Ovis aries: one gene and its partners. The protein of the gene in region 3 interacts with the protein of the main gene of each other region in a pairwise test. Links are inferred from orthologs where the notes say so. Each region holds a gene or a part of one and is shown on either strand. Other genes may lie near its edges. The genes, in order: EWSR1, ATF7IP, SMAD4, DCP1A, PIAS1 and RASSF5.

The links.
Region 1: the proteins of SMAD4 (region 3) and EWSR1 interact in binary tests that used the Homo sapiens proteins (3 or more experiments, as listed by UniProt). The link is inferred for Ovis aries from reciprocal best matches to the Homo sapiens genes SMAD4 and EWSR1.
Region 2: the proteins of SMAD4 (region 3) and ATF7IP interact in a two-hybrid assay, tested with the Homo sapiens proteins (2 studies listed by BioGRID and IntAct). The link is inferred for Ovis aries from reciprocal best matches to the Homo sapiens genes SMAD4 and ATF7IP.
Region 4: the proteins of SMAD4 (region 3) and DCP1A interact in binary tests that used the Homo sapiens proteins (3 or more experiments, as listed by UniProt). The link is inferred for Ovis aries from reciprocal best matches to the Homo sapiens genes SMAD4 and DCP1A.
Region 5: the proteins of SMAD4 (region 3) and PIAS1 interact in a two-hybrid assay, tested with the Homo sapiens proteins (2 studies listed by BioGRID and IntAct). The link is inferred for Ovis aries from reciprocal best matches to the Homo sapiens genes SMAD4 and PIAS1.
Region 6: the proteins of SMAD4 (region 3) and RASSF5 interact in binary tests that used the Homo sapiens proteins (3 or more experiments, as listed by UniProt). The link is inferred for Ovis aries from reciprocal best matches to the Homo sapiens genes SMAD4 and RASSF5.

The regions. Positions count from the first base shown.
Region 1 is NC_056070.1:68,577,146-68,582,128, forward strand, and holds part of EWSR1 (RNA-binding protein EWS), read left to right. Parts: intron 1-1,818; coding exon 1,819-2,030; intron 2,031-2,917; coding exon 2,918-3,098; intron 3,099-4,983. UniProt on the Homo sapiens protein: Binds to ssRNA containing the consensus sequence 5'-AGGUAA-3'. Might normally function as a transcriptional repressor. EWS-fusion-proteins (EFPS) may play a role in the tumorigenic process.
Region 2 is NC_056056.1:201,119,056-201,124,544, reverse strand, and holds the start of ATF7IP (activating transcription factor 7-interacting protein 1), read left to right. Parts: upstream 1-2,138; 5' UTR 2,139-2,325; intron 2,326-5,489. UniProt on the Homo sapiens protein: Recruiter that couples transcriptional factors to general transcription apparatus and thereby modulates transcription regulation and chromatin formation. Can both act as an activator or a repressor depending on the context.
Region 3 is NC_056076.1:50,873,568-50,878,550, reverse strand, and holds part of SMAD4 (mothers against decapentaplegic homolog 4), read right to left. Parts: intron 4,051-4,983; coding exon 3,838-4,050; intron 527-3,837; coding exon 407-526; intron 313-406; coding exon 196-312; intron 1-195. UniProt on the Homo sapiens protein: In muscle physiology, plays a central role in the balance between atrophy and hypertrophy. When recruited by MSTN, promotes atrophy response via phosphorylated SMAD2/4.
Region 4 is NC_056072.1:47,748,710-47,754,245, forward strand, and holds the start of DCP1A (mRNA-decapping enzyme 1A), read left to right. Parts: upstream 1-1,794; 5' UTR 1,795-1,804; coding exon 1,805-1,939; intron 1,940-4,539; coding exon 4,540-4,580; intron 4,581-5,536. UniProt on the Homo sapiens protein: Necessary for the degradation of mRNAs, both in normal mRNA turnover and in nonsense-mediated mRNA decay. Removes the 7-methyl guanine cap structure from mRNA molecules, yielding a 5'-phosphorylated mRNA fragment and 7m-GDP.
Region 5 is NC_056060.1:14,946,581-14,951,563, forward strand, and holds part of PIAS1 (E3 SUMO-protein ligase PIAS1), read left to right. Parts: intron 1-2,209; coding exon 2,210-2,300; intron 2,301-2,957; coding exon 2,958-3,092; intron 3,093-4,983. UniProt on the Homo sapiens protein: Functions as an E3-type small ubiquitin-like modifier (SUMO) ligase, stabilizing the interaction between UBE2I and the substrate, and as a SUMO-tethering factor. Catalyzes sumoylation of various proteins, such as CEBPB, MRE11, MTA1, PTK2 and PML.
Region 6 is NC_056065.1:4,132,710-4,137,692, forward strand, and holds part of RASSF5 (ras association domain-containing protein 5), read left to right. Parts: intron 1-3,479; coding exon 3,480-3,601; intron 3,602-4,983. UniProt on the Homo sapiens protein: Potential tumor suppressor. Seems to be involved in lymphocyte adhesion by linking RAP1A activation upon T-cell receptor or chemokine stimulation to integrin activation.

The DNA of each region.
Region 1 (4,983 bases), on a different chromosome or scaffold from region 3:
TGCAGTTGAGATGGGTCAAGTTGCAGGGCATTATTTTTTCAAAAAAAAGTTTACCGTAATCATTTTATGTTTAACTTAAAGATCCATTCTCACACCAGTCTTGATGGCTAGGCCAAGGCCTTTCTTTTTGGCTTAAAGAGTTCATCGTTCTGCCTTTTGTCTTAATTAGCCGCACCAGCAACTAGTGTCCGGTTTTGGTTTCTTTAAAGTAGAGGAAAAACAGGTTGTCTCAGATTTATTTTTTTGTTGCGTTTTCAAATGAACTGTCTGAATTGTGTCCTCTAGTGTTAACTTGGTTTTGATAGAATTAACATTGCCCCTTTTTGTATTCATTTCATTGGCTTATGTATAAGCAAGCACAGCTGACTGGTAAGTGTCTCTGTACAGCTTGGAGTAGAAGGGGGCAGGGTTCGAGCAGTTCCTCCCAAGGGCCCACCCACACCTGTCACGTTGAGAGCACTGAATCTGGCAAGTGGAATAGGTGCGCTTGGTGTGAAGAGAGGCTTTTGAGTCCTTACAGCTTCCCAGGGGCTTCTCTGGTGGCTCAAACAGTGAAGAATATGCCTGCAATGCAGGAGACCCGGGTTTGATCTCTGGGTCTGGAAGATCCCCCTGAAGAAGGGCATGGCAGCCTACTTCAGTATTCTTGCCTGGAGAATCCCATGGACAGAGAAGCCTGGTGGGCTACAGTCCATGGGGTTGCAGAGAGCTGGACACGTTTGCGCAAATAACGTTTTACAGCTGTGGTAAGGGAGGTGCAGATACTTAAAATCATTGTAGTTAGAATTAAAATTGTATTATGCGTTGTGTTGTTTTTCACTGTCATGGTTCATCTAAAGTTTAATATTTCAAGCTTTATTTCTGTGTAAGAGTATCTTTGGTTAGTTTCCCTTCCCTTTAGTTGACATATGTGAAGGTGAATATCAGTCTGATATTCATTTTTCATACAGTACCTTGAGTCTGATGTTTCCTTGTCCATCTTTTCCTTATTAATGCCCAGATTCATAGACGATCAGGCATGTCTGGAAGTCAGGAGCTATGTACACACCAAAGCAACTTGAAACTTAGGCTCAGGAAAAAAGTGGCCACCCAGACACACATCAGGTGGCCTGGTACCTTCAGAAAACGAGCCGTCACTCCAGGGCATGATGTGGGCAGGCAGCCTGGGGACTGAGCACCATACCGGGCTGCCTCACTTTTCTCGGTGCCGTTTCCTGGGTCAGCCTCCCTGGGAGCACAGTCTTCCCTTAATACAGGAAGCACCTAGGCTCCCAAACGTGCCTTGAGTTTGGTTGAGAATAACTATTGTTCTGATGAGCACGTGTGCTTGCGTGTGTGTGCTCAGTCATGGCCCACTCTTTGCGACACCATGGCCCTGCCAGGCTCCTCTGTCCGTAGGATTTCCCAGGCAAGAGTGCGAGAGCGGCTTGCCGTCTCTTCTGCAGGGGGCCCTCCTGACCCAGGGATTGAACCTGTGTCTCCTGCATTGGCAGGTGGAGCCTCCCAACCCTCCACTGCCATGCCACCTGGGAAGCCCTGTTTCAGTAAAGGTGGGGGTGGTAAAGGGGGAGACTCTTAATTAAGGTTGTACATTTTATAGATGGGTTTGTTTTGTGTGTGTGTGTGGTATAATACCCTCTCCTATTCAGAACTTAAATACAAAAATACTTGCTCATTTTAAGTTCAGTGTGTTAATATGTAAAAAGTAACTGGAGTTTTAAGAGTTTCTATGGCACATGCTGGGAACGTCTCCTACATTTAGGGGACCTAAAATAACAAGTCTCTCCTAACAAACTGTTTTGTTTTGTTTTTTCTCAGCTACTCCTCTACGCAGCCGACTAGTTACGATCAGAGCAGTTACTCCCAGCAGAACACCTACGGGCAGCCGAGCAGCTACGGGCAGCAGAGTAGCTATGGCCAGCAAAGCAGCTATGGGCAGCAGCCACCCACTAGTTACCCCCCCCAGACTGGATCCTACAGCCAGGCTCCAAGTCAATATAGTCAACAGAGCAGCAGCTACGGGCAGCAGAGTGAGTTGCTAAGAGAGAAAACCAAATAAGAATGGTTGTGTTTGGAGTTTCTGAAACGGGGAAACACTCTACCACTGTGTGCTTTTGAACTCCAGGATGCATCTTGAGGGTATCATATCCTGGCTAATAATCCTGGCTTTTCTCCAGTTTAATTGTTGTTAGCATGCCTTAGGAGAAAAGAGAGTTTGTAACTGACCAGAGAAAAAGTTTCAGACTGCCAGCCCTGCTCTCTGGGGAGGTTATATGCAGTGAGTGAAGCCAGCTTTTCATATGGCCTGCCCACCCCAGCTCATTAAGAGAGCGTGAGCAGGTAGCTATTGAAGACTCTCGAAGTTTTGATAGTTTAAAAGATACTGTATTTTGATTTTTTTGTGTACATTCATAAGACAAAAATTTTTGTGGAATGCTTACAGTTAATTTATGTGGAAAAGTAACCAAAAATTCAAAAAGTTGTCTTCACAATTTAGTCTGCCTGGATTGTTGTCTTTAAAATGCACCCATGAGTATGTCTCATTATGACAATGAGTCGTGCTTCTTGATGGAGACGACCCCTTAGCAACCCCAAGAAACCTGACTCCATTTTTGTTTGAGTATGGTTTAAAGACCAGTTTTTTAAGGCATCTTGGGATACAGAACCCTGTGAACTGTTGGTCAGAGTCCTGTTTTTGTTTGAGAGTGGTTTTTTCCTAGGCAAACTATATGAGATTACTTCAGCCTTTTTTGTTGAACTTTATGAAAAGCTTACTGATGGGGGACTTAATCAGATGTAAAGAAGATGATACCTCGGTTAGTGCCTTGCACTTGAGAATTCTATGATTCCAGGAGAAAGTACAACAGCAGTGGTGTAAATGCTGATCCATGGCTTACAGATGTGACTCTTTCCTCAGGTTCATTCCGACAGGACCACCCCAGTAGCATGGGTGTTTATGGGCAGGAGTCTGGAGGATTTTCCGGACCAGGAGAGAACCGGAGCATGAGTGGCCCTGATAACCGGGGCAGGGGAAGAGGGGGATTTGATCGTGGAGGCATGAGCAGAGGTGGGCGGGGAGGAGGACGCGGTGGAATGGGGTAAGAGCAAACCTTTTCTCCTTTTACCTAATTTTGTTTCATCCATAGGATTTTCAGTGGAAAGAAGGGACTGAAAGACATAGGAAATTTATTTCTGCATTTCCATGGATAGTCTGATGAGCCCAAGCCATCTTGCAAACATGGAAATGTCATCTCTGTGGCATATCTATAGAGGCAGTTTGCTTTTTTCAATGCCAGTTGACTTGGTTGGGTTGGGGAGAACAAAGAATGGTTTTGAAACTAGAGCTTTCAGTCCCCTTCCTGGTTTCCAGAGGTCAAAAGCCTCCTGGGTAATAGATTTGGGATGGAACACACACAACCCTTCTAACAACCTTAGGTGTTTGACTAATTGCTTCTGAATGATTGTCTTGAAATACGTGGTGTATATACTGCAGAAAAGGAATGCAGCTGTTTTCCACAATGTTTGTCCCCAACTTCTGTTTATACTTGGAACTGTTGAACATAATGATGAAGATCTTGGTCCCATAACCCTTGAACTATGGCCTGAGGTGCACCTGGTGTACAGAGAAGTCTAGTAGCTTTGTGCAGAGTAATGTATATAATTGTGGAATCACTCTCCCCAGTGGAGATTTTGAGAAGTCTAAATCGGTTTGACCATTTTGATGGATGGAACGACCTGGTTTAGAAAACTTTGTCTAGAGTAACGTGAACCTGCTACCCCGCCCTTCCCCTCCCTCCTCCCGCACCCTTTTCCCTTTCTGGTGTCTCTACTTTGATGAAGGTGAGGTGAAATGTTGGTTAACATAATCCAGAAGGCTTAGTTCTGTGTGTGTTCTGTCCCTGTATAAACTAGTGAAAAAAAGTTATGCAGAATGTTGGTATAAGTATAAATTGGATTTGGTGCCACTGTTGGTTCAAGGAAAAACTGAATATAATTTCTTTAGAAGTGTACTTCAAGATTAAATATATAATTGATTTTTAAATTTTATATTAAATCTGTTTACTGCTGAAATACTGGTTTAAAATACTGTTTTGCATATTCTGCATAACTTAAGTCTTTAGTGAAATCTTTATTGGAAGAAAGTCATTTTATAAGATGCAAAAATTTATGAGTAATTTCGTATAAAGTAGAATCAATCTTCTGATTTGGAGAATATCATTCCATTATAAAGGTTTCACTTCTTTACAGATGTTTTAAATAGATGTAGACACTTGAAATCACTATCATCACATCTCCAATCATTTAGACTCCTTAGTATTTTTCAATTGCAAAACCAATTTTAAGTTTACTCATTTCAATTCTCCAGAAGTAATCATTCTACTAATTTTGCTAGATTTTGCTAGTAGAGGGTGTTCCCTCTTTCTCTGAGAAGTCTCTGCTGAAGCCATAGGAAACCCTGTGGCTCTCCCCACAGGCTTCTCAGCAGACTGACGCGGTCCGCGGGACCCTGTGGGGACAACACAAGAGCCCCCCCTCTTTTTTTTTTATTGTGGTGTGGTGATGGTTTTCAGTGTCTTCTGCAGGTAAGGCACTCAATGTTGTTAACATGCCCTTTCTCATTGCCTCAGTATTTTGATATTTTCATTGGCTGTTAAACGTGGAAACTTTTTAACATGCTTTGTCGCATTTATATGCTACAGGTTACAAAGTGAGAGCCTTGTATACACTTCAATACTTAAAAAGTACCCGTACTCAGTACTCAGCCGGCAGCATAATGAAAAGTGGGACTAGACACGGTGTCCATATGGAGAGGAAAAATATACATAGAATATTTTTAACAAAATGTATTCATTGTATAAATGGAATCCTTCTGTAACTTTGGTAACTGCATACTTGTTGTTTGGTAATGAACCAGAGGAGGTATAATACTCTAGAATTGTGTAACATTAAAGTGTAAACTTTTGTGTTTAAAGAGAGAGAACA
Region 2 (5,489 bases), on a different chromosome or scaffold from region 3:
TGCCCTACACCAAATATCCCTCCTACCAGCCAATCTGTCTCAATGCTCAGCTGAAGAATCCCTGGACCTCTCCAGAAACCTACAACTAGAAGATTCAGTTCAGGTCAGTTCAGTTCAGTCACTCAGTGGTGTCCGACTCTTTGCGACCCCATGAATCGCAGCATGCCAGGCCTTCCTGTCCATCACCATCTCCCGGAGTCCACTCAAACTCATGTCCATCGAGTTGGTAATGCTATCCAGACATCTCATCCTCTGTCGTCAACATCTGGTAAATTAGGGGTCTTCAAACCTTCTTCTATTCTAATTGGTCAGTGCCTGGTACCACAAGGATTGATAAATATTCTAAGTATCATCCTATTATAAATTTAAGCCACACCTTTTCCTCTTTACAGTGCCTTTGCATTTCTGTTTTACCTAACTTGAATCTTCTTTCTTTTGTACCTATTCTGACAGCCACTTTAAGTTCTACATTATGAGTCAGATCAAGTATCACCTGTTCTGTGAAGTTTTCCTACATTCCACAAGAAGATTTATGTTCTCTTGTTTTATATTTCTTTTATTTTTAGTATATAACCTCATGATTGTAATGATCTCATAATGGGAATCTGTATATATGACTCCTTCCTGATTAGAGGCAGTGTCATTTCCTCTGGGCATCTCTAGTGCTTCGGAAAGTGTGTGAATAAAGAATAAACGATGTACTTGTTGATTGAAACAATGAATGATTGGTTAGATTAATCAGCAGGTAGAATAGCTAAAGCGCCCATAAACATGTCATTGAGGATATATGGGGGAAGATTAAAATACAATAAAACTAAGTGGAGTTTTGGGGTGGCAAGTCTAGAATATGAGCAAGAAAGAAAATTGCCCAATTGGTGAGTTCATGTTCAAGTATTTGTCATTAGCCAAGACAATTAAGAATGAACTATTATGAAAATTATTCCTTTTTGGTTGCTTATAGAAGACAAAGAGAAAGCTAATGAACTCTACTATACCAACCTCATTTCTTATTATAGAATTTTAAATATTGATAGATTTGTAATTTGCTGAGCATCTATTTTATAATTGAGCACTATGTGTTAAATTATAATACATAATTTGTTATAATTGAGCCTCTATTTGTAATATATTGAGCACTAGTGTACTATATTCTGTGCTAAGGACAGAATCAAATTATAGAAATAAATATTAACCACCCCACATTAATTTCTAATTATTTACAAAAACTTCCTGTTAACTTTTTTGTCTTCTCCACTGTAGTAGAGATTTCTTAAAGACAGGCAAAGTAATATAGGTCTGGAACACACTCATTGCTAAATAAATACTGAATGAATAGATTAAGCATCACGGTTTACTAATGATATTAAAAAAAAAAAACCTCACTATCCATTTGTCAGTCTGCTTTTGCTTTGCAGAACACATTTACATTTATCCAATCATTTAGCCTCCTCAACTGATTTGAATTACAGTTATTATCATTTTGGAGATGAGAAAACTGACTAACACTTATTCCAAGTAACAAGCAAGTAAGCAGGAGTAACTGGACGTAAGCCCAGATTCTTCAAAAAACACGAGCAGCTTTTTTTTTTTTTTTTAATTGCACTCTGTGGCCTTCATGAGGGTTTGGCTCACAGTAAAAAACTAAGTAACAGGGATACAACAGGTTGAAAGGTACAACTGGAAGCGCTTGTTCTGGCAGAGAACAACTGAAAAAAAAGATGTTTGCGCCATTCTCTCGTGACTTACACAGTTTAAAGTATATTTTCCGAGTTTTTAATATACACGATAAAGTAACATGCTATAGTCTTTTTCGAAAACCTTGCCCTAGCTCTTTTAACTTTCACCCACCTATTTCCTTCCTTCTTTACTGAGGCTCATAGAGGGCGCTCACAAAGTGCTACTCACCGGTTGAGCGATGCGCCACTCAAAAAACACACCTCACTGCAACTAAAGGGCGCAGCGCCACCACCTCAGACTAGCTTCTCTTTTCCACGGCAGGAGGCGGGGCCAATATTTCTCATTCAAATAAAAACCCTGGAGATTTGCATGGGGAACAGCTAATCCGGGAGCCTATTGGCTGAAAGCACGGCGGGCGTGGCCAATATTACGACCACGGAGCCCCGCCTACAATAATTTGCATAACGGCCCCGGCGCGTGCAAGGGAGAAGCGGGTTTGTTTTTGAATCTGCGGAGGCGGCGGCGGAGGCAGCGGCGGCGCGGCGAGTGGGGAGCGCGAGACTGAGGCGGCAGCGGTGGGGACGGCTGCGCGGGACGACTCTGTAGGACGGAACTTGGTTCCTCCTGCCTCATCTCCCGCCCCGAAAGGTATATGTGAGTCCCAGGGGCTGTTATAACCACATTTTGTTAAATTACTATTGTATTTCTTAAGAGTCAAGACCGCATTATGGCGGCTGCGGGAGTTGTGTTTGCGCCTGCGCGGTTGCGGAGCTGCGGGCGGGCGCTGCATGGGAGCACGTGATCTTGCGGGGTCGGGCTCTAGCTGCAGTTGTGCAGCTGGCGGGGCGGTGGCTGCGCAAGCGCAATATTCATTTTCAAGATCTAATGTTCTTGGACGCCATTCGGGTTCTAGATTTAATTTTTTTTCATTCTTGAGGGGTTTCGTTTTGTTACACGGGAATTTCTATATTTTTCAAAGAAAACGTTTCTCTTATGCTGTATTCCTGTAGCGACCTGAGAGTTTTTTTGTGTGTGTGTATTTCTCCTATTTTCTGAGAAGCTGTGGACTTAATTTTGTGTAAAAATGATTGTCCATTTGTGGTTCTCGATTTTAATTTCACTTTAAGTGTATTGCTGGATTCACGTTTATATTTAGGGAGCTAAAGATCAGCACCTAGTGGTGTTCTCACGGGAAGTGCAATTATTTGAACTGCATATTTGCAAATACATTTTTAACCCTATCCTTACCAGTTCTATTATGGAATGTTTTCAAAATAGGAACAGTTTGAGGTTTGGAAATATGAGAGGGAGGGGACATTGAAAGAATCTATATAATGTTTTAAAAAGAAATCTTAATCTCCTTAAGTGTTTATATTTTTTTAAATAATTGGATCTTCAGTCGGTGGAGTTTTAATCAGTGGTGTGCCTCTGACCTTGCTTGCATTTTTTCTATTTTTGATTGCATGTCTAGTACTGCTTCAGTTAGATTATATTTGTTACTTTGACTTTTAAAATTGTAATGATATGTAAAATATAACTCAAACTCGGTAAATTTTCCTGATAAAGAATTCTACAAAGAACTCCCAACTACCCTGAGGCCTTTATGAGGAGATTGTGAATCATCAATAAATCAGTTGATTAAAAAAACAGCCTGCTATATATAAATGTGTGTAAGATACAGTTTGTGTTTGGTTTTTAAAGTTGTCTGTTCCTGGTTTTAGTTTCTTAAAGTATCCTGATTATTTTAGTTTAAAATGGTAGTGTCACTATATTTAAATCTTAGGTAAGCCTTTGGGAGAAGTTTTATACGATTTAATAGAATTCTACCATTGTGCAAATTATTTCTTACTGGCCTGAAAACTTGTAAATGGTTGTCATAAATGTCATCTTTGTCTTGTATATGCAACAACTGTTTTCTTGGTTATGTAACTCTTAAATTAGTCACTTGTCAAATGAAGAAGTGGCTGTCGCTTTATAATCTTCGTTGGTTTAGGGACTTTATTGCCTACAGGTACTGTTAATAAGATTTAAATAGATGTAGTTGAAAGGAATACTTTTGGTTGATGGGTTTTTTAAAAAATGACATCACACAGGGCATAGAATGCAGTGATAGAAATAATTCTTTTTTTCTGAACAGAGTACTTGTTGTTGTGATATAATTTTTGAACCTCCAAGTCTTTTACACAGAAATATATTTAGAGGGCAGTTGTGTGATTTTTTTTTCCCCCCTTTTATGCTTCCAGGTTGATTACCCAGCACACCCCTTCCATCTCCAGATATAATTTCAAATATTTAAGAGTTGAAACATGTTTTTTTCTGTGTCTGTGTATGCGTACATAGTTAGGTTAAGAAAAGAACTTCTGTCTAGAACATGTTTCATTCTGCACTTCTCAGAAAAGTGAAATATTTTGTTTTATATATTTAAACTTATGTTTTCATTTGCATATACAAATGATTGCCTCAGGTTAATGTTGAAGCTTACAAGAGGCACTTGACAACACTGAAGAACATAACGAACTAGGTAAATATGTATTGGTAAGACAGTTTTGCTGTTTTGTAGTGATGGGCACATTGGTTAGAAAGGCAAGTATAGTTCTATAAACTTAAACTAAGAATAATGTACTGTTTGAACGTCTAATATTTTTTGTTCATTAGTACTCTGAATAACAGGCATGATTTGGAATTTAAGTTACTATTAAGATTGAATAAATACTGAATTAATTCTGTTACTGGGAGTCAATTAAAATCCTTTTAGATTTGTACATTTTAAACAAAAAATTCAGGAAAAAAAGATTTGAATACTTAAGCCAAAGCCATTAAAGTTTTTTTCTTTAAATTGTGATTTTAATATTGATATTTAAAACTTTTTACTTGTTTTAGCACGTTTAGAAGGTGTCAAAAGTTAATTAGAAATAAACACACTAAATGTTTTTGTGACTTTCCTATTTATTGATTGATCAATTAGTTTATCTTTTGGATCATAATTTCATTCCTGCCCCTTAACCTAAGCACATGCGTACACACATACTGCCGTATTGTGGCTATTTACTTTCCTGGTGGCTCAGTGGAAAAGAATCCGCTTGCAATGCAGGAGATGTATAGGAGACATGGGTTTGATCCCTGAGTCGGGAAGATCCCATGGAGGAGGAAACACATTCCAGTATTCTTGCCAGGGAAATTCCATAGAAAGAGAAGCCTGGCAGGCTACAGTCCATGGGATTGCAAAGAGTTGGACACAACTGAGCATGCACACACAACCTATTGTTATATTGTGGATATTTATCCATTTCATTGTTCTTTAGAAGTATGTTTTTCAAAAATGATTGCATGATATTCATTTTGTGAAAATATCCTAAATTATCAAATGTTCTTGAAACACATTTTTAAACAGCCACAAAATACCAGTGTTTTTAATAAGAATGTACTAAGACTTTCCTTATTGAATATTTTGTTCATTTTGCGTTTCTCTATTATAAATAAAGTTACAGTGAATATGTTGTACATGAATCAGAGTCTGTATCTTATTTCTTTGAAATTGCTGTTTCAAAGGGCTTTTAAAATAATTTACAAAATAGATAAAAACTTAGTTTTTTTGAAAAGCATTTCCCACGCCACCATGATTTTGGTGGTTGAGAAACAGCAGCTTATTTACTTTTTTTCCTGGTAACTAGTGAAATTGAACTTATAAACATTTAATATATATGCAACTTTCTCATTTTTCTTGACTTTGCTGTTTGAGGATATTTTGTGTATCTTTTTTTGGGGTAAATGTTAATATTTTTCTTATTTGTAACAGTTATTTGTGAATATGA
Region 3 (4,983 bases):
ATAAAAGTGTTTTGTAAATATCAATCCTCGAAAACAAAGGTATGATAACATAACTATGAAAAACTAAAAAGCACTAATCATGTAATGAAACTAAACTGTAAGATGAACAAAAGATGTAAAAACATTTTTTTAAAAAACAGAAAGAAAACAAACTTCAAAAAAGAAAAGGCCCTTACAACAAAAACAAGAGCTTACAGTAATGTCCGGGATGGGGCGGCATAGGCGGGTGGTGCTGAAGATGGCCGTTTTGGTGGTGAGGCAAATTAGGTGTGTATGGTGCAGTCCTACTTCCAGTCCAGGTGGTAGTGCTGTCTAAAAATTAAGGCCCACATGGATTAATTGGCTTTTATAAAGTCTGCCTATTTTTTCTCAACTACTTAAAAGATTTTAAAAAGCATGTACATACTATGATGATAAGTAGCTGGCTGACCAGTAAATCCATTCTGCTGCTGTCCTGGCTGAGGCCCTGAAGCTATCTGCAACAATCCTTCACTATGGCTGCCTGCCAGTATACTGGCGGGCTGACCTAGAGGAACAAGAAGACATTAATATGGTACATTTGTAGATGCAATCCTATGGCTTTACACAGTAAATGAAGGATTTTATACCTGAAAGTCACAACTATAAAGATGAGCAAAGAGTGAAGTCACCCATGGCCTACCAAATAAAAAACCCTGCAGTCATCTATAAAGGCAAACCTTAACCTGAAGAAGTTCAAAATTATTCTAATATCTAGCTAATTTTAGTGGCCCATTCTTCATAAATATTCTCCAAATGCCAGCAAAACCCCAGTACAGGTCTAGCCTATTTTAATAACTTCTTCAGAAGTACATTAGCTCACCCACAGCCACTCCATCTAGCTTTTGCATCTTTCTGTTAGGATTCCAAATGTCCAGGCTCAAGGAAATGTTGAAAATTGGAAAGCTCATTATTATCAGCAATGGTAGCAATAGCAGAATGCTAAAGTTCAATAAAAAAGCAGAGCAGACAAGTATTTTAAATGGAATGTAATGGTAAGGTGAGAAAGTTAAGAGGAAAAAAGGTAAGCTCCACTGTCCGGTTAACGCAGCATCTGCGAGTTTTAATAAATAAACCAAAAAAAAAAAAAAATCAGTCTATTGTGATATTTTCTCATGTACTTTTAAATATCAAGAATTGCCTCTAAGAACACTATCATATTCCTGGATTTACAAGAAATTAGTTGCCCTCTCTGTATGTAATAAAACAGGAGAACTATTCTATTTAAAACCATTCTATGAAATTGCTTACATTTTTAAGGCTGTATCTTTTGTGTGAAAAAGGCTAAATTTTTTCAAGCAAGTATTAAGTCAACTGTGCATCTCACTTGGAAAGCACTAAAATTCCATAATTATTGTTACTGGCATTACCTTAATCTTTTCTCAACCATATAGGAGTATAATCAGATAGAAGGGAGTAAATGACACCATTGCCCAAATATGCAACGAACAGCTCAAAGTATCAAGAAAAAAGAAAACTTTTCTTCCTGCTACAAATCAGATTTCTGTAAGGCTAAGATTATATAATTAAAAGCTAAAAAGACTATTTCAATACTCCCTAAAGTATTTATTTTTAAAGATGATATTTTCAGCAACCTCCCTTCTTACTCATCCCCCTCAAATTTTTACAGGTAATCTTTGAAGGTTAATTGCATATTTCCTCTTGTTTTTAACAACTGTACATGTTATATACTCTTAGCTATCTTACAAAAATTGTCACTATGCAGGAGAATTTGAACTATCTTAATTTAGAAAGAATCCCTGTAGATATTCAGGTTCCAATTGAACATAACGCCCACTACAGTTATCTATACTGAATACTTTCATTACACAATTCCAAGAACATAAAATGAAATTAAAACAACTCATGAAGTCTTTTAATTCCTCTATTTTAGTCATTTCCTTTTTCTAATTTTATCAATATATCTTTTAAGATCTAAGGGAACATTCTGCAACAAATTCTAAAACTTACAGTTAATTACTACTCATTGTGAAAATACATCCAAAAAACACCAAGACAAAATTACCCATATTTCATTTATACCACTTTTTCTGATCTTGACTAGGACTTGGTCCCAGTAACATTAATGGTTAAAATGAAGTTGCATGAGCAATCATCAACAAAGGCATGCCAATTCAATCCTCAGATAGTATCAATAGAGGTAAGTGGCATTAATCTATGCTCAAGTGGCTATAATGCACCTTCTTTTATTTTCCTTCCCCACCCACTCGTTTATCAACTATATTCCCAAACTGGTTAATACAGAGATAACAGAAGCACCAAGTGATTAAAGGTTCAGGCTCTAAAGTATGTGTTTAACCTATATGGTCCAACCTATTTGGAATATGCTGTCTGTATGAAGACTGTCATCTTGTGTAGGAAATACAAAGGATATTATTTGAAAAGGTAAAATAAAGCGGGGGAAATTTGGTGTACTTTATCTGAAATTCAACTGTAGAAATAAATCCTTCATTTGTTCCAAAGATCAAATTTCTATGTTGAACTTGATCTGATATTAAAATAAATAGAATATGCTTCCTTTGATATCAATATACAAAGTATCAGTCCAGATGCATCAATAATTTACTGCTGTTGTGGGCTGAGATACAATCTCCTTAGCACTGATGTACAAATAACACAGTAATACAAATGCCAAGACCCTGTTCTGTGAGTAATTAAAAATAAAACAGGAGCGATGCAGGGTGGGGACGCACTGGGAGACCGGGACTGACACACATGCACTGCGATGCATGAAGCTGCTAACTAGTGAGAACCTACTGCGCAGCACAGGGGCCTCTACTCGGTGCTCTATGGTGACTTCAGTGGGAAGCAAATCCAAGAAAAAAGACAGACATACATGTGGCTGACTCACTCTGCTATACAGCAGGAACTGACACAGCACCGTAAAGCAACTGTACTCTTTTTTTTAAAAAAAAAAAAAAGGCCACTCCACTGTCCAACATAAGGTCATTATTGCCTTGACCAGGCCCCAAGAAAAGCTGAACCTAATAGCCCTCTGCTTCCATGACACAGCAGAGAAGGCAGTACCTCTAAACTGGAAAGAATCTTTTCTTTTTTTTTTTTTTAATTTTTATTTTTACTTTATTTTACTTTACAATACTGTATTGGTTTTGCCATACATTGACATGAATCCACCACGGGTGTACATACGATCCCAAGAATCTTTTTAAAATACACTTCTTGTTAGGAAAAAAAAAAGATACATATAATTTAGCTTTATTTCAAAACTGACTAGAACACTTAACATCTATCCTGAGGGTCATATGTTACAAATAAATTTGTCAAGGTCCTTTTTTCTAATAAGCTTGTACAACTGGAGACTGAGATGACGATTATAAAGTAATCTGCCAGATAAAGCAAAATAAAAACACTGATTAGAGGAAAGTTTGCAATTCCATTAATACAGATTTCTATAAATATCTTGGTTCAAAACTATTTGTTCTCTACTTAAACATTTCTCTAAAATTTATGTGAAAGCTCAATAGACTTCTTCTGCATGTAATAAAGTACAAATTAGACCACTAATTTAAAGCATTATTTAAATTCCAAGGGACTATACATCAACATAAGACGGTTTATGTTCTGTTACATTAAGATACATTTAAACTTTTTAAAATTACAAATATTTTTTTTTTCCAGGACAACTCAAAAACCTATCTGATGCTTGTTAACCCATGAAAGATAACCACAGTACTTTTAATATTCACTTACTCGGACGTCCCCTCCAAGTGACTACCTATAAATATTCAATTGTTAGGAAAATTCATCTTGCTGACTATATCTGACTCTACAACTCACTTGTGGAAGCCACAGGAATGTTGGGAAAATTGGTGGTGCTGGTAGCATTAGACTCAGATGGAGCTAAGAGAGCTGGGGTGCTGTATGTCTCCGTCGATGCACGATTACTTGGTGGATGCTGGATGGTTTGAATTGAATGCCCTTCAGTGGATAATGATGGCTGTCCCTCAAAGTCATGAACATATTCATCCTTCACCAACATACTTGGTGGAGCTACACAGAAAAACAAACATATTTTAAAATCTTGTAAGCTTTTATTCCCAGGAAAAAAAATCTTGTAAGTAACATAAGAACACCTAAAGTCAACTAGAGTGTAACTCAGAATTTTCTCATACTACTTTAAAAGCATTCTACTTTATCAGCAAAAGCTATTTATTTAAAGATAGTGGCATCAGATCAATCTGATTAACTCCTTGAAATCTGAAGGCGACTAAATTACAACCACCTCCGGCTGTGGTCCTGAAAATGTATTTCTGAGCTTCCCAATTAATAATCTAAAGGTAATAATCACCTTAAATATATAACATAGGCAAAAATCAAGTGGCTAGAGAAAGTGTTTACCTCACTAAGAAGACCAAATTGGAGATCGACTAATTAATTTTTTTCCTCTTTTTGCCAATTTCACAGTGTAAAAATATGAGTGGGATCTTACAGCTATCTAATGCCAGGATCTAGCATTATTAAGTAATGTATTCTTTGAAAGTGAAGCATACTAAATGTCCCCTAAAAAATTAGAATGAGCAGAAAAATCTCAAATGGTAAGTCAAACTGAAATTTCCTTCTAGAAACCCAATCCAAATAATGATGCTTGATAAATACGTAGTGTGAAAAAACTCAATAAATAACATCTTTCTCCTGCATGGTTACACCTTAATGTAACCCTGTAAACTGACCCTACTTGATACAACAACTTTTTCTTGAACAAACCAGGAATAGTTAGTCAGCTTTACTGTGAGGAAAAAAAGAAAACTGAAATCGCGTTTACAGTATCAGTGGCCCTGCCCAGAATGGTCCCACTTCCTTTTAGGTAATAGTTTGGGGTTTGCTTTTTATCTTTAGCAAGCAATCCTTTACTGCACCTGAACTAACACTACCCTAAAATTTTACTATCTACTGAACTCTTAACACTAGGTCCTGTTCTTAGAG
Region 4 (5,536 bases), on a different chromosome or scaffold from region 3:
ATCTGGTCCCATCATTTCATTGCAAATAGATGGGGAAACAGTGGCTGACTTTATGTTTCTGGGCTCCAAAATCACTGTAGATGGTGATTGCAGCCATGAAATTAAAAGATGCTTACTCCTTAGAGGGAAAGTTATGACCAAACTAGACAGCATATTAAAAAGCAGAGACATTACTTTGTCAACAAAGGTCTGTTTAGTTTTCCAGTAGTCATGTATCAATGTGAGAGTTGAACTATAGAGAAAGCTGAGTGCCGAAGAATTGATACTTTTGAAATGAGAAGTCTCTTGAGAGTCCCTTGGACTGCAAGGAGATCCAACCAGTCTATCCTGGGGGAGATCATTCCTGAGTGTTCATTGGAAGGACTGATGTTGAAGCTGAAACTCCAACACTTTGGCCACCTGTTGCAAAGAGCTGACTCATTTGAAAAGACCCTGATGCTAGAAAAGACTGAGGGCAGGAGGAGAAGGGGAGGACAGAGGATGAGATGGTTGGATGGCATCACGGACTCAATGGACATGAGTTTGGGTAAACTCTCGAAGCTGGTGATGGACACGAAGGCCTGGCGTGCTTCTGTTCATGGGCACAGAATTGTACACGACTGAGCGACTGAACTGAACTGATGGAGAAGGGAATGGCAATCCACTCCAGTATTCTTGCCTGGAGAATGCAATGGACAGACCAGCCTGGTGGGCTATAGTCCATGGGATTACAAAGAGTCAGATACGGCTGAGCTACTAACAAAAATACTTGCTAAAGAAACAGTAAATGAATATGTTTCCTTTTCTGCATTTGTACATGTAACGTGATTCTGCCAACAATGTAAAACATTAAGTATCTTTCCGATAACGACCTCGGGATGTAAAATCATAAACAATACAACTATTAGAGTCAATAGTATTTTTCAGTCAAAAAAAATTCAACCTGCACCCCGTGCACTGGAAGGGTGGAGTCAACCACTGGGCCGCCACAGACACCTCTCGGTTATCTTTTCAGTATAAGAAAAGGTTTTTTATAACAAATCGGGGGAGGGGCGGGGGAAGGGGCAGAGCTCCCTTTATCTTCCACACCTTGTTTTACTCTTTAGCTAGTAACTGGCTCTTTTAAAATGCCTTAAAATATTAAGCAGATGTTTGCTAAAAGGATGAGTTACCGTTTTAAAGCTTTAAATGATGCACGGCAAACAACTTTTCAAGGGTTCTTTCCAAAACTGGATAAAGATTTTCGTGGGATTCAGAGGAAGAAAATAAGTTGACAATAAAAGACATTTCTGTGTAATTACAGACAGGCTAGTCTGGCTTTTTCAAAAACTTCCTTTATAAAAACACAAATAGATCTGAGATCTGGGGTACTTTCCGAGGTACCCCACCCCCACCCCGTTTCTCCCCGCTTTTCTGTTTTCTAAATCGCCCCTGGAGCCCTGCCTTGACGCAGCTAGGTTTCCAGTCTGCGGCCACGGGAAACTAATCCGGCAGGAACGGTGAGAAAGCTCCAGAGCAGCCTTGTTCAGAGCGCCGGTACCTTTCAGCCCGCGGAAAAGAAGAACCTGCGCCCAGGCCTTTCTGCTCCGCCACGCGGCGGCGGACCCCACCTCGAACCTTAGTCCACTGGGACCTGACGACACCGGAACCCGGTGCCCCGGGCGTAGGTTCAGCGGAGCATAATAGCTGCAGTACCGCCCGGCCGCGAGGCCCGGTGGAGAGGCGGAAATTGAGGGCGCTGACGCAGCTGGGGGAACTTTGCCTCCATGGCACCTTCCTGTCCTCGACTCCGCCCCGCCAGAGGGGCTCGGCTCCAGAATTCAAGATGGAGTCGCTGAGTCGAGCTGGGCAAGAGATGAGCCTAGCAGCCCTGAAGCAACACGACCCCTACATCACCAGCATCGCAGACCTCACGGGCCAGGTCGCACTGTACACCTTCTGCCCCAAGGCCAACCAGTGGGTGAGTGCAGCCAGGTGGCTGAAGTCGCTCTCCCGGCCGCCGTCTCTTAAAGGGGCCGCGCCGACCGACCTGGGTAGGGGGCGATGCGGGAGGCCACGGTGGCGGAGGCGAGGCCAGGGACTGGAGGAGAGCCTGGCCGGCGCCTGAGAGGTGTCGGCGCCGCTGGGGATTGGGTGAGAGGAGAGAGGGAAGTAGGTCCAAACATCCGGGGGGAACGCTGATAGAGGGGAGGGTTGAAGAAGGATTAGTCCCCAGGGGTCCAGTTCGAGGATGTGGGCGACCTGCCTTCTTTGCAGGTGTGTTGGAGGATTTGAGACCGATGGAGTCAGAAAGACGCCTGTAAGATTGTCTGAAGCTTTGAGAGTTGTTAGATAAATTATGTATACATAATCTATAAAGTAAACACTCCTCTCCCCCCAACAGATAGATAAATCAGAACCCCCTTCGCAGAGGTTATTAGGATTTAAAGCTTGAATTCCAATTAGTTTCAGTTCTTGGAAAGGCGAGAGGGTGGGGATACGTCCCGCATTTATCAAACTACACTGTGTTTCCAGAGTTTGGAAAAGATTTCAAGGCACTTAGGAAAAGGGCTTGCATGTTAATTTTGTTACCTTGAAACCTTTGGACAAGAGACCTCGTGTTTTCAGCTATGCTGCTGGTGATGTCACCTCTGAATACGCGCATCAGACTTAAGTACTTTTTGCCTTTTTTTGCACGAGAGAGGTTGCGAAAAGTTACATTCAGTTAGTTCACTGATTTGTTAGCCGCTTTGAAGCTTCGGTTGTTGTTTACATGTCAGAATTTCGAGACTTCCCTGGCGATCCAGTGGTTAGAACTCCCCGCTTCAACTGCAGGGGGCAAGAGTTCGATCCTTAGTCGGAGAACTAAGATCTAACAAGCCACGCAAGTGGCTAAATAAAATATAAATAAACGTAACATCATTTCCCTTAAAAATATGAATCTTCTTGATTAACTCATTTAGCTATATAGGCTTTATTTTAAAAATAGTCTGTAAATGTTTGTTGGATTGAATTAATAAATGATTCACATTCACGTTTCAATAAGAATTGAAGTCCTTGTACTAACAAAACAAAGATTATTATCATAATATATTCTTTACAACATAATGCAGATACATGGGTTATATTTAATCATTAATTTTGTGAAAAATCATTTCGCATTTATAAACAGTTAAATCAGATGCAGAGGGTTTTCAGAGTCATCTTGCTTTACTTTGTATCGTCTTTCCTTCACCTCCTGGAATAGGAGGAGGTATGGCAAGCCACACAGAACAAAATTATAGATTTTTTCTTTTAAGTGTGACTGTTTTAGTAGATATTGCTTTAGTTTAAATTGTTTTGGACCATTTTTCTTTTCTTGCTGTGCATATACATTTTTGGAGTGTGGATTGCAGACAAATGGTGAATATTTGGGGCATGGGCTTATTACTATAAGCTTTTATTTCTAGTTTGTCACAGACTTCCAATATTTTGGAATTTTAATTGTGCCATTCTTCTTTAAATACAAGCTGAATGAAATACAAGCTGAAATAACCTGAATTGAAAACTAAGCTGCCGTTATTCATTTGTATCATGGCAGTGATTTGTAACTTTACACAGTTGTTTATTTGGGTAAATTTTCTTTCATTGTGAAGCAATTGATTACCAATTTATTATATTAATAAAGTTTGAAAGGCAAGAAATACATAAGGAAAAATTCCATGATAATGTTTAAGTTAGAAATCAAGATGGTAAATATCTTTTAAAGTTCTTTTTTTCATCCCACCAAATTCAATTCTATATGACTAACATTTAAGTTTGTTAATAGTTTGCTGACTGCATTAAACTGTTTAGATCCTATCTGGCCTGTGAATTGTAGACTAATTTAAAAAAAAAAACAAAACATTTTAACGGTTTAAAACCTAAATACACTCTTGTCACAGCAAATGAAAGATGATGAGTTGTACTTTTTTAATCAAAACGTTTACTTTAAGCGAAAAAAAAGTTTTAAATTATTTGTAAGACCTATACAAATTATACTAAGTAGAATTTCAGTACTCATGATTCTTCAACAAAGGTCTAAGAGTAACAAACTAATTGTGTTTGACAGTAGTTCTTAACTAACTACAAAATTTGCTACTCAGGAAAATATGCCGGAATCTCCCAAATGATGAAACAGTGTCCTGTAAGATAAAATTTCTTTTTTTTCTCCTACTAACTTTGATAAACTTTAAAGGTGAAGTAATGACTGTATACAGACTTTGGCTTTAAAATTAAGAAATTTGGCTAAAACATTTTAGTTTTAAAAAATGAAAGCTAATTCTAGATTTTTTTCTCCTTTAAATTTTAAAAAAGAAAAGAAAAGTTACTGTAGATACAGGCATGTTGCTGGATAGAACATTGCATATCAATTAACATGCATCAATAGACTAAAAAGGATACAAAAGAAACTGGTAACAGTAGTTTGTAGAGAGAAGCTTGACCTGTTCAGAGTAATTAATTTTAAAATAAATAAGTTAATCTTAAACATGACGTCTCCACTGGGACAACTTGGGGTTAGATTATGGGGGAAAAAACTAATTGACTCATTGTCTGTTACAGGAGAAGACCGATATAGAAGGGACCTTATTTGTATATCGAAGGTAAGCTTTTTAAAAACTTATTATTTTTTTAATTTGATGGTGAACATTGTCATGTAGAGTGATTCAGCCCTATTGTATTGTCTTTGGAACTTCCTGCTTGACCCTTCCAAGTATTCATCCATCTCTTGCTGTGAAATCTTAACCAAGTAATGTCCCTTCTTTGATAGTTCCTATGATTCAGAATCAAACAGAACTTATTTAGGAACCTAGCAAAATAGAAAACATTTTGTAGTAATGAATGAATCTAAAACAGATGCCTTTTTCCTTTTCCCCATATTAGGAAAACAGATACGTAACTGAGAAAAATATAATACAGGAGCTAACTATTCTGTGATTACTGAACTAAAAGGTTATCTTCTAAGACTCTGGTTCTTTCCCCATTCCAGCTACCCAAAAGTTTTGAGTTGTGTACAGTGTCTAGTAATAGGTATTTTTAGTTTGAGAGTCCTTTAGAAAGCCTGGACTACTCATAACTGCACATTTTTAACTTTCAACTTTTCTGAGAATTAATTGTCGTAAACATGATTGGTTTGTGAATTGCAGGTTTGGTTTTGTTTGGCAACTTTCTTGGCCTAAAGGCAATTGACAAGGGTATGTTAGTCATTGAAGTTTCTTGTTTTCCTGGATCCCTCTTAACTCTCACTCTGATTGAGATAGATGCCTTTTCTTGTTTTTTAAAGCTTAGGAAACTCAGCAGGATTACTGATACCTGGTTCTTTTCGTGTGTGTGTGTGTGTGTGTGTGTGTGTGTGTGGTAAATTATTTATGGATTGTAACAAGAATTTGTCAAATATTCTTCTAAATTGTCTTGTGTACCTTTGAGATCTTGTCTAAAAAACACTGATTTTTTTCTTCCTTTTAAGTGCTTTTATGTTACTCTTTCTTGTTGACATTTTGTTCCCTGTTACTCATCTTTCTCCTTTTTAAAAAAAAAAGACCTTTATCTTTTACCTGGT
Region 5 (4,983 bases), on a different chromosome or scaffold from region 3:
ATACTGGGGAATTATTATGTGGTTCTTTGTGTTTTGCTAAATTGTTTTCATCCCTACACTGCCCATTCCCCACAGCAATCCCAGGATATTAAGTTTGGAGTGTATACCTTTTACTATCCTAATTATAAGTCTTTATCTAAAACATGAAAAACAGTTTGGTCAGAATTAAGATCAGTATTTTCTCTATTAGATTCCTAATCTGTTTTCATTTATCTGTTTCCCCTCTCCACCCCCATGAACATCTGTATAGAAACTTTCTGCTATTGTTCCTTTTTTAAAAAAACCTTTGGTTTGTAAGAATAATTTAGATTTTCACTTTTCACATAGTTGAATAGGGGTCAACTTGTCACATGGATTTTGGTTTTCGGTGGCTTCAGGCAGCCAGGTCCATGTTTCTAATTTCCCACAGTGTTGGTATAATTGATTTGAAACTGGAGCATCCTCTGACTTTTGCTGTGTGAAGAACTGGCCTGTCATAGAAGGTTCTGCTGGGGTTAGAGATGATCTTGTGGGTGTTGATATCTGTGTGCTAAGTATATTTTGAGAAAATCTTTGTAGGTTGGTAATTCTAAACCTTTCTATGACTCTCTAACCTCTTTGAGAATGTAATGGAAACTATAGATTGTCCCTGCTTAAAGATGACCATATATGTACCCATAAAATTTTATATAGAAAATTGTCCCATTTGTGGACCTTCCCTCACACAGATTCCATGGCAGGCAGATTATTGAGAGAAGATACTTGTGCTTCTTGTGTAAAACTTGTGTAAAAACAATGAATATTTCATAGAATTCAGAGATAGCATACTTAACATATAACTCAAAAAGTTCTGTAAACATTCTGTAAAGGTGGGATGAACCTTAGCTCTATATTGGGAACAAGGAAGTAATTGAGAATTGTTGTCTTAAATAGCAGATTAATCTATTTCTCAATCTATAGAATGAATAGAGTAAGGAACTTCCCTGGTGGTCCTGGGGCTAAGCCTTTACGTTCCCAGTGCAGAGGGCCCAGTTCGGTACCCGGTCAGGGAACTAGATCCCACATACCACAACTAAGACCTGGTGCAGCCAAATTGAAAAAAAAAAAAAGAATGAAAAGATTGAGAGTGTACAAATTATGTAGCTGTCTTGGTTTTTCCTGAAAGATTACCATGTAATTTAGAAATAAATGTTTTTGTGAGTTTCTAAATAGTATTCTAAACACGTGGATATAATACAAATAATGTCGTTATTCAACATCCTCAGTTTTCAGGAACTAATGGAACACTTGAACTTGGTGGACAAAACTTGATCCTGGAGCTTGACTTCTAGCATTTTCAGTATATTCTGCTGAGAACCAAAAAAATGTATTATAGACAAATAAGTTTGGGAAATACCATATGTTATATCAGGCTTCCCAGGTGGCACAGTGATAAAGAATCTGCCTGCCAGTACAGGAGATACAGCTTCAACCTCTGGATTGAGAAGATCCCCTGGAGGAGAAAATGGCAACCCACTCCAGTATTCTTGCCTGGAGAATCCCATGGACAGAGGAGCCTGGTGGGCTACCATCCATAGGGTTGCAAAGAGTCAGACACGACTGAGCACACACACATACATTTCCCTCTTAAAAATTTACAGTCCTTATTAGCTTTGAGATGTTCTGTACAGAGAAAACTTAATTGAATTTTTTCCATTGAAGAATGAGTGCTTTTACCGAATTTCATTGTTCTCTGTCAAATATCAACATGAATCATCCATAGGCATATACATGTCCCCTCCCTCCTGAACCCCCTCCCTACACCACCCCTCTAGGTTGTTACAGAGCCCTGATTTGAGTTCCCTGAGTCATACAGCAAATTCCCATTGGCTATCTGTTTTACATATGGTAATATAAGGTTCCATGTTACTCTCCAAAATTTCTTAAATGTGTTCAACCCCAGAGCACCCCACCTCAACCCCCCAACCCCTACCCCCGCCAGCATGCTTGAACAAATGACTGGAAATACTATGAGGACAACTACAGGTTAGTAGTTGTGACTATTGAAACTCTACATTGACAAAATTATTTATTTTGATCCTATTTAAATGCATTTATTCGTAATATGAAATGTCTAGTTTTAATAGTTGTTGCTGTTAAGTTTGCCCATCTTTTAGATTAGCTATGGAACAAAAATATCAATGAGATCATCTTTTAATAAAGGAAATTAAATTTGTTCTTTATTGTTTAGGTTTTGTTTATCAGAAACCAGTTGTCCACAAGAAGATCACTTCCCACCCAATCTTTGTGTGAAAGTGAATACAAAACCTTGCAGCCTTCCAGTAAGTCCTAAAAGCTATTTTTCCAGTGCATTCCCAACATAGCTAGCAAATAAGTCATCACAGCTGTTGTTAATCATAGTTTTTCATTAAGAAAACGTCTTTATTTTGGATGTATATTCATGTGACTGAGTGAAACACTTGTACCAACTATGTCCAATTAACAGCTGTGACATTAGCTATGGAGACATAGTCTAGGACTTGGAGTTGGGTGTGGTAGCTTTTAGTATTTTATTTAATTTTGGGATGAAGAGATTGTTTCATCAAACCTCAGATGTATTCTTGTGTCTGAAACCTTGTGGTAGATGGGAGATATGAAGACTGCTGTGCATTTAACGAAGGAGTGGGGGCTATTGTTGCTCACGTTTAAAATAGCCCTTATGTGTTTATCCAAGTTGTTTATGAATTCAACATGATTCTTAAATTTTTACAGATTTTTACGTTCTATCACCAATATTTTTCTCAGGTTTACTTTAATGAGACTGTAGGGTAGTTTCGAGAAACGTACAGAAAACTCTTACAAATGTTTGCTTCTCCACTTTTAAATGGAAATACTCATATTTTCTAATATGTAGTTTGTAGGGTGTTGTTTTTTTTTAAGGAATGGAAGTTTAAATGGTTGTGGAAGTAATAAATAGAAATGTTATATTTCATCCTTAGGGTTATCTTCCACCTACTAAAAATGGTGTGGAACCAAAGCGACCCAGCCGACCAATTAATATCACCTCACTTGTCCGATTGTCTACAACTGTACCAAACACCATTGTTGTTTCTTGGACTGCAGAAATTGGAAGAGTGAGTAAATTTTTGTTTCTTCCAGACTTTTGTTTTATAAGGAAGGGTTAAGCTCTGTGGCTACTTGAGCTTATATATAAATAAAATGGGTATAAAATGAGTTACCAAAGGATTTATTTTTTGTCTCACAGTGAATTTTCAACATGTTCCCATTTTTAAAATGGGATCTTGTAATATTCAATATTTTATAATGATAACTTTCACTAAGTATTTTCATAAACATCTTCCTATGTCATTTCATGTTCATCTGTATGAAACAGCTACATCATATTTCAATACAAGTATCTATAGTTTAGCCTGTTCCCTATTGTTGAACATTTATTTGATTGTTTACTTCAAAGAACATTTTGAAGACTATCCTAATAGCTCTAACTTTGCATACACGCATAGTACTTTCTTTAGAGTAAATTCCCTTAAGTGGAATTGCTGAATCAAAGACCATCAGAATTTAAAGAAATTTTGTGTTCACTGGCAGATTGCCTTACCAAAAGATGTTTTAAAAATTTATTCTCTGACTTTCAGTGTTTTTTCATATGCCTGTTGACTGATAACACTTGAGTTTTATTTTCTTTGAAATCTCTACTAATTTTTATAGGTAAATAGTGGTATTAGATTGCTTTAATTAGTACTCCTTTTATTATTAGTGAGATTGAACAAATTTATTTGTGATTATTCACATTTTAAAAATATATCAATATCTGTTTCTCTGTTGCTGTTTTTCTTATTTTTATTGTTTATGAGTTCTTACATTACTGATTTAACCTTCTTTCACATGCTGCAAATGTTTGTTTGTAGTTTATTGCCTTTTCATTTATGTGATTATTTAATGTGTAGAAGATTTAAATTATTATGGAGCCAAATTTTAACCAGTTTGTTTCTTTTTTTCTTTTAATTTATTCTTTATTGAAGTATACTTGAATTACAGTGTTGTGTTAATTACAGCTATACATCAAGGATATATGACTCAGTTATATATAGATATGTATATTTATATTCTTATTCTTTTCCATTGTGGCTTATCACAGGTTATCGAATATAGTTCACTGTGCTATTCAGTAGGATCTTATTGTCTGTCCATTCTGTATATACTGGTTTGCATCTGTAAATCCCTAACTCCTGCTCCTGCCCTCTCCCATCTCCGTTCCCCTTGGCAACCACCAGTTTATTTTCTATGTCCTTGATTCTGTTTGTTTCATAGATAAGTTGGTTTGTGTCATATTTTAGATTCCACATATAAATGATACCATATGGCAATTCTTTCTCTTTTTGACTTACTTCCCTTAGTATGATAATCTCTAGTTGCATAGTTTTGTTTCTTTATCATCTTTCCGCTCAGCCTCTGTTGGATTTAGTTTATCTGCCCTTCCCAATCTTACATAAATATTTGTTTATATTTTCTCTTGACTTCTGAGATTTCTTATTTTATCTTTACATATTTAGTCCATTGTAAATTTACATGTGAAATAAAAATTTAATTTTTTAAATAGCCAGTTCTAACGCCATTAACTAGACAAATGCTAATTCTGAAGTAACCATTGTTATATATTTGATTTTTATTTATCCTGTGTGTGTTTCTGCACTTTGCTGTATTGTTTTTTAGCCTAGCATTCTTTTTCTGGCACAATTTTAGAATATTTTTGATTATTACAATTTTATATGAGTTTGTATATTCACAAATTCATTTGAAGTTTGCAGAATTTATGCTATATTCCATGTACTATACTGAAAACTGTTAGTAACATAGTGAGAAAAAAAAAGTCCTGACTTGGAGCCAAAATCCAGTTTACACACAAAAATGTGAACGGTGTCACAGGAAATATAAAGAAGAGGTGCATGGTGATATTAGAGTATACTCGGGCACTTTGAACTAGAGAGAGGTCAGGCAGGGCTT
Region 6 (4,983 bases), on a different chromosome or scaffold from region 3:
TCCGGTAGTAGAGTCCCCTAGCCCAATATGACTGGTGTCTCGTGCAGGTGACCAGGTGCAGACACAGCCCACGGGGACAGCAGGCCCTCGGGACCTGTCCTGTGCTATGGGGAAACGGAAGGAGGCTGGACTCAGAGGTGGAGGCAGAGACTGCACTCCTGCAGCTAGAGGCCGAGGAACACCAGAGATCTTGCCAGCACACTCCCAGAAGCCGGCAAGAGGCAAGGAAGAAGGGTCCTCCTATAGTCTCCAGGAGGAGCGTGACCCTCCTGACCACTTGATTTCAGACTGCTAGCCTCCAGAACTGAGAGAGAATAAATTTCAGTTCTAGGCCACCTGGTGGGTGGTGCTTTGTTAGGGCAGCAAGGAATCCAGCACGGCCTGGGTCTGAGGGTGCCCCAGGAGCCCTTCCCCATCCGGACACACGGGCCCCTCCTTGGAGAAGGGCCCGTCTGGGGGTGCGCCAACATCTTTCCTTCCGTCTCGGGGGAAACGTGGCCCATGAGGGCCGAAGTGGTGGGCCCCGGTGGAACACGGCCCTGCCTTTGCAGCCTTGTGACTGTCCGTACTCAGAGCCCTGGGGGCCTGCCGGCTGCTGGCTGTGCTGGTGGGGTCGGCTTCTGGTGCGCAGAAAGGCCTGAGGACTCTGACTTCATCTCTGCTGGCCTAAAAGCCCTGGGCTTAGCGTTTCTGGGGGCCAGGAAATATCAAGACGTGCTTTGGTGGTCTTGCTCCGGTCTGTGATTCCGCGGTCTGATGGGACAGACTCATTGGTGCTCAAGTGTGTTTTTATAAAATCCCGAACCACTCCTCCTGGTCTCTTCTGTTCCCTGGCTCTGTGCAGCTCAGCATCAGACCCGTAAGAAAAAAGTAAGTAAATCTCCGTGTGGTTTTGATGCTCTTTTCAGAGCGCGTGTGCGTGTGTGTCAGTGAGAGACAGACAGGCACCGAGAGACTGCGCTGCACAGGTGGACTCAGGGTGCCCGAGTTGGCAGGACACAGCTGAAAGAAGACACTGCAGGGCGGCGTCCTCTGTCCAGATGCTCTTGCCTTTGGGAGCCAGGGGCAGCCCTCCCTCGGGGCAGAGCTGGCAGGCTCCCACCGGCTGGCAGCCCCGGAGCATCCTTCACGCTCTGAGCCCACCGGGAGCTGCACAGATGTGTCCCAGAAGCGGGCCCAGAGCAAGGCTTCTCGGGGCTCCCTTATTGAAGCCCTGGCATTTTTGGGCACTGCAGGCAGCAGAGACTCAGCCTGCACACCCTCCCCGCTGCCTTCCACCCTGCCAGGGGTGAGGTAGTCCCCACACTGGGCAGGAATCCTCTGGGGGCCCAGGAATGCATGGGGGCACTGGGAGGGGTATGGTGTGTGGCTCCGAGTGGGCCCCACACAGCCCCTGCACAGGCGAGACCGCTTCCCTGGAGGAGGGCCAGGAAGGCCTGGGTGGGCTGTGAAGGAGGAGGCATCATGGTGGGCCTGGCTGCGGGCACTGGGGAGGCGAGCAGCAGGGCTCCTGAGCGCCATCCCAGAGGGTGCTCGGGACTTCAGAGCATGGAGTCAGAAGGCGCCAGAGTTCTGGAATCCCCAGGTGCTATGCTGTGGCATCAACAGCAGAAACTGTCCAAGGAGGGTGGTCCCTGCACTCATCTTTGGGGACGGAAGGGAAGGTGGTGGCTTAAAGAGTGGTGGTCTCACTCCGAACCCCGCCCTGCCCCCCGCCGAGAGCCTGGGGAGAAGAGGAGACCCACCTTCACCACCAGCCCCCGCACAGCGCTTCACAGCTTTAAGATGATGTCCAAGGACTCCCCTGGCGGCCCAGCAGTTCGGAATCCTCCTTGCAATGCAGAGGACGTGGGTTCAACCCCCGGCTGGGGGACGAGGATCCCGCATCCCTGGATGTGTGCCACAGCTACTGAAGCCGGCACGCCGTACCTGGAGAGTCTGCATGCCTCAACAAAACATCCCACAGGACGCGAGGAAGACCCTGAGCGCTGCACACTCCCGACACAACCACACAAGTCATTAATAAAATTTTTTTTAAAGAAGGCAATCCCAATGTGCCGAGGTTCTGGAGCTTATTGAAAGGAAGGAGGCCAAGGCCTCATCAATCAGAAGCTTTCCTCGTCCCCAGGTTACCCAGACAGGCCCAGGCTGCCATACCGCCCCCCCCCCCCCACCCCCCCACCACAGGCCCACATCACCATCGGGCAGCCTTCTCACGGACACTGTGGCCGCCTCCTCAGCTGGGCCTTCCAGCTGAGCTGCCGCACCTTCAGGACAGGTGACCCTGGCAGGCCCAGCAGGTTCTGTGAGAGCCAGCCTCAGATCGGGGCATTGCTCACCCTGGGAAACCAGCCTCAGATCGGGGCGCTGCCCGTCTGGGGGAGCCAGCCTCAGATCAGGGCACTGCCCATCTGGGGGAGCCAGCCTCAGATCGGGGCACTGCCCGTCTGGGGGAGCCAGCCTCAGATCGGGGCACTGCCCGTCTGGGGGAGCCAGCCTTAGATCGGGGCACTGTTTGTGGGCGTGTGCTCCCTTCCCTTGCTGCCGTCCTGTTTCACTCCCATCCTCCATACACCCTCTCCCCTCACTGGTCCCAGCCTCACTGCCTCCTGCCCTCTTCAGCTTCACCTCCCTTCTGCCGGGGAGGTTCCAGAGAGGCAGCTGTGGCCCAGCCAGTGAGCTGTGTGTCCCTGGGCACCTGGCTTTACCTCTCTGAGCCTCAGCGTCCCTATCTTGAAGGTATTCCCCTATGCCCTTCTCAACTCTGGGCGTTGAGTCTTACTTCCATAGACGTGAACATTGTTTAGGAAATAAAGGTGAGGTTTCCCCAGAGGCACCTAGTTTGGGATGCTGTCTTTAGGCTGTGTCAGCCGGGTTAGAGAAGCTGACACATTTCTAGATGGGGTAGGGTCAGAGACAGGTGACGTTGATTATAACAATGGGATAACAGAAATTAGTAGAGTGCGCGCCAGCCTGAAGGGAGATGACCTAAGAGAAAGTCATCAAAGTCCCCCGGCCCCAGTTTCCATCTGTAAAGTGAAAGTGAAGTCGCTCAGTCGTGTCCGACTCTTTGTGACCCCATGGACTGTAGCCTACCATGCTCCTCCCTCCATGGGATTCTCCAGGCAAGACTACTGGAGTGGGTTGCCATTTCCTTCTCCAGGGGATCTTCCCGACCCAGGGATCGAACCCAGGTCTTCTGCATTCCAGGCAGATGCTTTAACCTCTGAGCCAGCAAGCAGCAGTAATAAGGGTTGCAGGGCCACACGCAACAGCAGAGGTGGGAGCAGTCTGGGAGCTGTAAAGCACCCCCTCACCTCCACGCGCACGGTGGCAGGGGGAGCCAGCGACACTCCCCCCTGGGGTCTCCCCTCCGCTCGCCTCCGCTGCCCTCCTGAGCGCCCTTCCCTCTGGGAGCCGCATGCTGCCCCCAGGGCGTTTCTCTGGCCACTAATCCCCCTGCGGTTCTCTCCCTCCAGACTGTAAATTCACCTGCCACCCGGAGTGCCGCAGCTTGATCCAGTTGGACTGCGCTCGGCAGGACGGCGCCTCCCGGGATAGGCCGTCTCCAGAGAGCACCCTCGCCGTGACCTTCAGCCAGGTAGGCAGCACGGACCGCGGAGCTTGACCTCTGAGGGGTCTGGGCTCCCCTCACCCCCACGGGCTCTGGTGAGTGGGAGGTGCGCGGGTGTTCCACGTTTGCCGGATGTTCCACGTTTGCCGGATATTCCACGTTTGCCGGATGTTCCACGTTTGCCGGATGTCGGGGGCCCGTTCCCGCAGGATATCGGGGGCCCGTTCTTGCCGGATGTCAGGGTCCCGTTCCCACCGGATGTCGGGGGTCCCTTTCTCGCCAGATGAGGTCCACGGCACACACTCAGATTCTTCACCCAGTTCTGATGGGGCAGGGGGCAGGTGGCTACACCGCCAAAGCAATCCTCCACTGCACTGCGTGTCCTATGACTCAGCTCCATTCTGGCACTTTCTGCGCACGCCACCACCCCCGCCATGACCACTGCAGATACCGGTCACAAGGCCGTGCTCTCACCCGTGCCCCTGACCCACTGGCTACAGATCCAGGTTCCACAGCCCCCTCCTGAGGCCCAGTTACTTTGCTACTGCAGCTCACAGAACTCAGAGGCATTTTTGGCCCACTAGATTACCAGTTTATTATAAAAGGATGTAAGGGGAACGTCCTGATGGAAGCCATGCGGACAGCAAGGTAGGCAGAAGGCACACGGAGCTTCCGTGCCCTCTCCCAGCCCTGCTCTCTCGGCACCTCCCTGTGTTCACCCACCCAGCTCTCCAGCCCCATCCTTTCGGGGTTTTACAGACAGGACTGATCAATTCCCTGGCCACTGGCAACCATCCTTCAGCCCCTCCCCAGTCCCCAGAAGCCTGGCAGCTGGGAGGGAAACTTCCTATCCTAACCCTTGGTAGGTTCTCCTGATCCTTAGGTGGGGTCCAAAGTCACTTCATCAACATAGGAAACATCTTTCTTGCTCTGTACTTGGGAAGTTCGAAGGGTTTTTGGAGCTCTGTGCCGGAAACGGAGAGAGACCAAGGATATGGTTCTTGTGATAAATCGCAGGTGGCACACCCCTTGCCAAGGGGCTGGGGGCATGGAACAGGGTGGAAGGAGCAGGGACGCCTGCTGCTTTTGAGAAGTGCCCTGTAGTCCACCCAGGCACAGAGCCTGCCTTGTCCTAGGGCTCCAGCCACGGGGTGCGGTATGGGTGGGGGTGGGAGTCCCAGGGAAAGCTCCTGAGGGTCCTCTGAAGCCTCGTAGCCCTGGGGTAGTGGGGGTGCTGGCGCTGAGGTGCTGGCAGTGCGTTGTCAGGCCAGCTTCAGAGGGACTGCACAAGTGTTTCCCTGTGTCAGAGGACCAGGAAGATGATGCCCAAAGCAGTTCTTGATTCTGGGCTTTGCCGAGGCACTTGAACCAGGATGTATTCGACCTTTGATGTCAAGCCTTTGGGAGGG